Linked DNA regions of Kluyveromyces lactis. The protein of the gene in region 1 purifies or fractionates together with the protein of each later gene. This does not show direct contact. Links are inferred from orthologs where the notes say so. Each region holds a gene or a part of one and is shown on either strand. Other genes may lie near its edges.

Region 1 (4,273 bases):
GACATCTTGCAAGAGAAATTGGAAACCTTGGTTAGTAATTTTGAGTTCGCCATATTCTGCCTCTTCCATTAGACCACTATGCTGCAATAAGTCTAGAACCTTTCCACCAGGAGTGTTTGTATTCGGTGTTCCCACCATGTAATGCAAGATTGTTTCCCACTTTTCTGCACTATACTGGTCCAAAGTAGCTGTAGATACGGGATTGGTATCATCATCCGCAACATCACCAAAAGAGTTATTGATTTCACCACCAGTTAATACATTTTTGAAAGATTTCTTGAAAATTGGATTCAAACGAATCAATAGAGGTTGTTTACTCTCACCTTCTATTATAAGATTCAAGGATTTCATCGATTTAATAGAGTATTGTAACTGGTATTTCGCATCTGGCTTGACCCATTTATCTAAATCTCTAAGCGAGACATCGTGGTCCTGAAACAGCATCGACATAATGAAGAATTTTGCCATGGGAGAAAGCAATCTATAAATTGCCAAACATGTCGCTGGAGACTCATATAATCTTGATTGGACTTGCTCTGGAAGACCTTCTAGGTAGTCATTAACGGTGGTCTTGAAAAGATTCAGACTCATAGTATTGAAAATATGCAGCTCAAGGCCTCTTGAAATAGCAAGAGATTAGAACCAAGTGAGGAGATCAACAATTTGGTCACGTCAATCGATAATGTTATTTCAGCCTAATACGATTTGCTGCATTCGAACGATGCAATGCATCCATGATATCCGATTTGGAAAAGCTCATCTGAATCAATAGTACTTAAGGTTGATACCATGTCAAATCCAGACATTCGCATATTGAAAGTAAAATATATGTCACGTGTATATATATCATGTAACACGAAGAAATGTATCTTGCACGTGACTGAAAATTTGTTGATGACAGAAGAAATTTCTTTTCACTCTGTCAGATCAATTTTGGAAAATGAAAAAGATCAAATCAAGCTCATCTCGAATTTGAAATAATCGAAATACGCCAATGATTAATGTAGATGAGCTCTGTCAATATTGATGGAAACAAAGAGAAGTGCATTTATTGGCAGTTAGTGACTGTACTGATTTGCTGACCTCAACAAAGATTTGATTAAGTGAAATTTACTGGTTGGCTCCTTCTTTTTTCACTTTCAGTAGAGTAGCTTTGTTTGGTCTTTTTGCCTCTTTTCTAGATATTTTGTTTGATTAACTGTTTGGAACACTAATTAAGTTTGGAAAGGGTAGCTTTCAAATATCCTGATTGAATATTCTCTAAAATGAACCACACTGACTCCCATAATCCTGATGGCTATGAAAAAGATGAAGCGTTCGATGCTCTTTTGAAACCCGTCTTCAAAGGTAAAAAGCTGACTGACGAGATCAACACTGCCGAAGATAAATGGAATCTTTTGCCTGCCTTTTTAAAGGTGAAAGGGTTAGTAAAGCAGCATTTGGACTCTTTTAATTACTTTGTGGATGTTGATTTGAAGAAGATCATCAAAGCTAATGAGGTTATATTATCTGATGTCGATCCAGAGTTTTACTTGAAGTACATTGACATTAGAGTAGGATACAAACATAACGGCAACAAAGCTATTATGACCCCACCACATGAATGTAGATTACGAGACATGACATACAGTACTCCTATCTTTGTTGATATTGAATACACCAGAGGAAGATCAATTGTGTTGCATAGAGATGTGGAGATCGGTAGAATGCCCATAATGTTGAGATCAAACAAATGTATATTAGATGGTGCAGCAGAAAATGATATGGCCAAATTAAATGAATGTCCCTTAGATCCAGGTGGATATTTCATTGTTAATGGTACTGAAAAAGTCATCTTAGTTCAAGAACAATTATCTAAGAATCGTATCATTGTGGAAGCAGATGAGAAGAAAAACATCGTACAAGCTTCTGTTACATCTTCCACCCACGAAAGAAAATCTAAGACTTACGTAGTCACCAAGAATGATAAAATATACTTAAAACATAACTCTATCGCAGAAGAGGTTCCAATTGTAGTTGTTTTGAAGGCTTGTGGTGTTGTATCTGATTTAGAAATCATGCAGTTAGTTTGTGGTAATGATAGCAGTTATCAAGATATCTTCGCGGTGAATCTCGAAGAAGCTGCCGAACTAAAAATATACACGCAACAACAAGCCTTAGAATTCATTGGTACTAAAGTTAAAACTGTCAGAAGACAGAAACTTTCCATCTTGCAAGAAGGTATCGAGGCCATCGCTACGACAGTCATTGCTCATCTGACAGTGGAAGCTTTAGACTTTAGAGAAAAAGCATTATACATTGCAATGATGACTCGTAGAGTCGTAATGGCTATAGATAACCCAAAGATGGTTGATGACAGAGATTATGTTGGTAACAAGCGTTTAGAATTGGCTGGTCAATTGATGTCATTGTTATTTGAAGATTTATTCAAAAAGTTCAATAATGATTTCAAGGCAAACATCGATAAAGTCTTAAAGAAACCAAATCGTGCTGAAATGTATGATGCCTTACTAACCATTAACGTACATTCCAACAACATTACTACAGGTATGAATCGTGCAATTTCAACTGGTAACTGGTCTTTGAAACGTTTCAAGATGGAAAGAGCAGGTGTTACACATGTCTTATCCAGACTTTCTTATATTTCAGCATTAGGTATGATGACAAGAATATCCTCTCAATTTGAGAAATCTAGAAAAGTTTCAGGTCCTAGAGCCCTACAACCTTCTCAATTTGGTATGTTATGTACCTCAGATACTCCAGAAGGTGAGGCCTGTGGTTTGGTTAAAAATTTGGCATTAATGACCCATATCACCACCGATGATGAAGAAGAGCCTATAAAGAGGATTTGTTACTTGTTGGGTGTGGAAGACATAAGTTTAATTGACAGTGCTTCAATTCATTTAAATTATGGTGTCTACTTAAACGGTACAATCATAGGGACAACTAGATTTCCTACAAAGTTTGTGTCTCAATTCAGATGTTTAAGAAGAACTGGTAGAGCGTCAGAGTTCATCTCTATATATACCAATACACATCAAAAAGCAGTTCATATTGCTACTGATGGAGGAAGAATCTGTAGGCCGTTGATAATTGTTTCGAACGGGCAGTCTTCTGTTACTGCAGACCATTTAAGATCTCTTCTGGCTGGAAAATTACAATTCGATGATTTCTTAAAACTGGGTTTAGTCGAGTATCTCGACGTTAATGAAGAAAACGACTCGTTCATTGCATTATATGAAAAAGATCTATCTGAGAATATTACGCATCTAGAAATTGAATCATTTACTGTCTTAGGTGCAGTTGCTGGTTTGATTCCATATCCTCACCATAATCAGTCTCCACGTAACACTTATCAATGTGCGATGGGTAAGCAGGCTATTGGTGCAATTGCATACAATCAATTCAAAAGAATTGACACCTTATTGTATCTAATGATATACCCTCAACAGCCTATGGTGAAAACCAAAACGATTGAATTGATCGATTACGATAAACTTCCGGCAGGTCAAAATGCTACGGTGGCAGTTATGTCCTACTCCGGTTATGATATCGAGGATGCGTTAGTTTTAAATAAAGCGTCCATTGACAGAGGTTTTGGACGTTGTGAAACTCGTCGTAAGAACACCACCGTGTTGAAGAGATATCCAAATCATACTCAGGATATTATTGGTGGTATGAGAGTTGATGAAAATGGTGAGCCTATATGGCAACACCAAGCATTAGGCCCTGATGGGCTAGGTGAAGTTGGAATGAAGGTTGAAAGTGGACAAATTTATGTCAATAAATCTGTTCCAACTAATGCGTCGGATAGCATTCTAACTCAAACACAAGCTCAGTACAAGGAGACTCCAGTGGTATATAGAGCTCCAGAACCTTCTCATATTGATCAAGTTATGATGTCAGTTTCTGATAATGACCAGGCTTTGATCAAAGTTCTATTGAGACAAAACAGAAGACCTGAATTGGGTGATAAATTCTCATCGAGACATGGTCAAAAGGGTGTCTGTGGTATCATCGTAAAACAAGAAGATCTTCCTTTCAACGATCAAGGTGTAGTACCAGATATTATCATGAACCCACATGGTTTCCCATCTCGTATGACCGTTGGAAAAATGATTGAGTTGATATCAGGTAAAGCTGGTGTCTTGAATGGTACCCTTGAATACGGTACCTGTTTCGGTGGATCTAAGTTAGAAGACATGTCAAAGATTTTAGTCGATAATGGTTTCAACTATTCCGGTAAGGACATGCTTTATTCTGGTATTACTGG
Region 2 (4,068 bases), about 2.2 Mb from region 1:
ATCACCTGAAATGAGACGAGTAGGAATCATTTTACAAATCTTTTCCAAGCGGGTTGGTAATGACGGGAGGTTTCTATTCAGTCCATAGGATATGGCTTACCTACCGCTAAATGGCTTTTTCATGTCATGCGGCTGATGGGATTTAACTGACACAGTTACATCATTACCTGATTGATGTAGTTGACACTTGAGTTGATATACCAATACAGCTCTCTGATATCAAACTGTTAGTATGCGTACCAGAGGGAGCAAGCAACTGTCCGCTAGGAAACGAACCAATGACAGTGATTTCGTTTTGTAAAGCTGTTCAGTTTTTGATATACAGGAATAATCACGTGATGTGACTGATTGTGGAGTTTTTCGATTTTCTGTATAAAATAAACTTCAGACCTGTCTTAAACACGCTGCGTTATTTTCTGTAGTTCGAGACAAGGTTTTTATTCCTCAGTTACAGAAGAAAATGTAGATAACCAAGAATCAGGAACGGGCTGCTGAGTGTCACGTTTTTTTTTTTTTTTTGGCTATTTCAATGTAACTGTGTAAAAATGTTCAAAATGGAACTTCTTTCCGCCCAAAAAATGTGTTAAGAAGGTCCGAGCACCTTTTCATTGAGAGGCACCAATTGTGGTAAACTTCTCTAAAAGTAATCCAGAACTATCAACTCATATCACGTGCAAAGTTTTTACAGAAATATCTACATACCAGATATTATGGATGCTGTTGAGATAGATGATGTTTCTTCAAAGCAAGCGTTTGTGCTTTGAAGCGGCTGGTCGTGACCGGGTTACCAAATTCATCAATCGGTTCTTTACCTAACTCTTCATTTAACTCAAGTTCCATGGTGTGCTCGGTGTTTGAGGATGATGAGGTGGATGCGACCGCGAATCTTTCAATATTTCGACGACGATGTTCCATATATTCTCGCTCAACTTCTGCGTATATGATTTGATCCTCAACGTCTTGTACTGGCTGTTCTCCAGCGCCCGTTGGATCCCTTTCTTTAATTTCGTTAATAATAGTGCTCTCGTTATTCTGTGATGATTCTGCACTTTGTGGCAGTTCAATGTCATATTCATAGCTTGCATTCTCCTTCAAGAACTGATTTAATTCAGGCTTCAAAGTTTCTACCATCTTGTTATAAGCCTCAAAGTCAGAAGTGTCTTGCAATACTGTGCCAGGATCTTCTACATCGTCATCGTATAATCCTAGGAGATATGCTCTTGCCATGTCATCAAGGTTGTCCAATTGTGCAAAGTCGATTCTTGGCTGGACATGAATTTCATTAGACTTTTGCGCAGGGAAATGAGGCTCAACTAGTTCTTGCTTCTCCTTCATGACTTCCGCAATTGACGAGTTGTTTTGTTCGCCCTCAGCACCGCTGTCATCTTTGTTCATTTCTTCAGTGGGAATTATTGATGGTGTCTTAGTTGGCAGCGATTTTGGTTTTTGTAAGGACTTCATCTTCTTATGAATAAAGTTTGGCGAACCAGTTTTAATCGGAGTATTTTCAACTGAAATCGATGATGTGTCGTCACGCTCAACTATGTCGGTTACCACAGCCTCTACAATTGGTTCCTTTTCAAACATTTCAACATCATTAGTATTAAACTCGCGTTTTTCCGTGGCGGCTTTTTCCTTTTTAAACCTTGAGATACGCTTCTTTCGAGGTGCGGCGAGTGCTGGCTCTTCAGATTCCTTCAAGCCGTTGATGCTACCAGGTTGGTACTTTTCATGCAATACGTCGGCTTCCTTGGCTCCGATCATCTGCGCGAACAAATCGGGGTCAAATTCAACATCTTCTCCGTCAGATGCGATGATTTCTGACTCCATATAGCTGTTTCTAGGGAAATTAAATGTGTTAGATTTGGTTTCCTGTTTCACATTTTCCACTTCAAAGACGTCTAGCTTTGGCGCAAAGTTGACACTTTTCTTCTTCGAACCGCCTTTCTTAAGTATGGACTTAGCTTCTTGCTCAGGGGAATGATTACGATATTCTGTATGTACGAGATCATGTTTTTTGTTGGCCCTCAAAGCCTGTATTTGTTCCATAAAGGAATGCTGAACTCTTTCAGGAACTATGGAGACGGAATAATCTTCATCTTCCTCATTATCGTCGCTTTCTTCATCATACCCATCAAAATCGTATTCTACGTCATTTACGTCGATTTCGCCATCTTCATAATTATCCAATTTATCTAACTGATCTACCAAATCATCGAATGTGTACATGTTTTCCTTTGCTATTTGCATGGTACTCTTGTCTGCTTCCATGATTTCTCCTGTCTTATTGCCAGTTTCCGAAGTTCCTGAAGCGGAAGAGCGATCATCATTCTGAATATTGAAGGCAGTCTCTGGTGAAAGACAATTTTGACGTTCCTGACTCAGTGACAATTGTTGTTCATCACTATGGACTTCATTACCTTTGCCCGAATGCACCTTATTGGCGGGCGTCATTGAAGCATGTATCACATTTCCGTCTTCGTCTAATTCTTCTCTGATCTCAAAGAAACCTTCCTGGTCATCATCATTGTTAGAAACATTCGTATCTCCCAAAGATTTTGCACCGTCTCGAAGTAACTCCATGTTTCGCAATGTGCCATGTGCCTCTTTCAGTTTCTCATCAAATTGTGAAATGGCTTCGGCAATTAAGTTCAATCGAACCTTTATAAAAACCAGGCATTCTTCCCTAGATTTCTCCAAATAGTAATCGTAACCTATATTTTGGAAAAACTTACCATTCTGAAATACTACCTCACCATACTGCCATTCTTCTTCCGAATCTTCGCTCGTGTCAGCATCTCTTATCCTATCGAATATCTGTTCATACAACGGCTGCTGTTCCTTTAAGAAGGTTCTTTTGTTTACCAAATTATCTATGGTACCTTTGACAGTATCCATTAACTCGGCAAAAGAAGCCCCACCTTCTGCTGTTTCCATTGCGTTTCACGACTAAGACTGATTTTCTCAGCCTCTTTACCTGCCTCAGATAACTCACTCTTTCAACAAGCGATGAGATGACTTCATTACGGATGTCAAGTTACTGATTTCCGTTTTTTTTTCTTTTTGGTAGAAGCTCATACAATTTTTGGCATCACCATTTACCTTGACCCAATGGAAGTCACGTGAACAGAAATTCCTATTGTCTACCAAGGTGGTTATGGGAGACGTTCATATTTCCGTAGAAGACGTAAAAAATTTTTTTTTCTTTCCATAAGTTCGGATTTCAATATAGAAAAAACCAATACCCCCATTCACCGGACAAACTGTTGCGTTCCACCCAAACAACCAACATAAAAAGGAAAACCACGCGCTTCAGAACAGTCCGGTGGCTCGTTCAAACCTACTGAGAATCAACCATCAGTAGTGATACTTAAGGACTTTCATCAGTTCTGCAAAATCCGTACCAATAGCTGCTATCTTCAGTCCTATTTTAGATTTGGTCTCCTTGTTTTCTGCCTCCTTCACCGCCACCCGATTGCTTGCCAGTGAAGTTTTTCGCAAAATTTGGCCCCGAAAACAGGAAGAAAATAAATTTGGGCCCCCGTAAAAGAACCAATTTTTTAGAGGGATAATTGTAGTTACCCTTCCTTTCATATTTCTCGCTATTGAAATCTGGAATTCAAAGATCCTTCTTTGGCTTCAGCCGCATAGCTATCAGGGTAACTACACACGGGCATTGACACATTGCAGTATGCCAGCTCCTGCAGTGGATTCATCGAGGTTCAGGCACAGAAAGATCAGCGTGAAGCAACGACTTCGGATCTATAAGAGCCATGAAATTAAGGATTTGGAACAAGAAGATGTTTCGGCCATCAGTTCCCAGCATCAACAGCGAGAGCTGATGGAGATTGAAACTGGTGTGGAGAAGAATGAAGAAAAGGAAGAGCATTTATACAAAATTCTTCAATCCAATCAGCTTCGAGAGAACAAGAAGGATCTATTTATTCCAACACCAGACGCCTCGAAAACTTGGGACGAGTTTGACAGATTTTACCAAGGTGAATTCAAATGTCCTACGAGTTATATCCAGTTTTCTGCACAATTAGAAGATTGCTGTGGTACTTTGTA

Evidence for each region.
Region 2: the proteins of RET1 (region 1) and BUD27 purify together in Saccharomyces cerevisiae (affinity purification with mass spectrometry; 3 studies listed by BioGRID). This does not show direct contact. The link is inferred for Kluyveromyces lactis from reciprocal best matches to the Saccharomyces cerevisiae genes RET1 and BUD27.

Annotation. Positions count from the first base shown.
Region 1 is NC_006042.1:97,066-101,338, forward strand, and holds the start of RET1 (DNA-directed RNA polymerase III core subunit RET1), read left to right. Parts: upstream 1-1,265; coding exon 1,266-4,273. Other genes in the region: TFIIH/NER complex subunit TFB2, read right to left, coding at 1-591. UniProt on the Saccharomyces cerevisiae protein: DNA-dependent RNA polymerase catalyzes the transcription of DNA into RNA using the four ribonucleoside triphosphates as substrates. Second largest core component of RNA polymerase III which synthesizes small RNAs, such as 5S rRNA and tRNAs.
Region 2 is NC_006042.1:2,340,255-2,344,322, reverse strand, and holds BUD27 (prefoldin-like protein), read right to left. Parts: upstream 2,938-4,068; coding exon 709-2,937; downstream 1-708. Other genes in the region: EPL1 (Epl1p), read left to right, coding at 3,692-4,068. UniProt on the Saccharomyces cerevisiae protein: Involved in gene expression controlled by TOR kinase and nutrient signaling. May also be involved in positioning the proximal bud pole signal.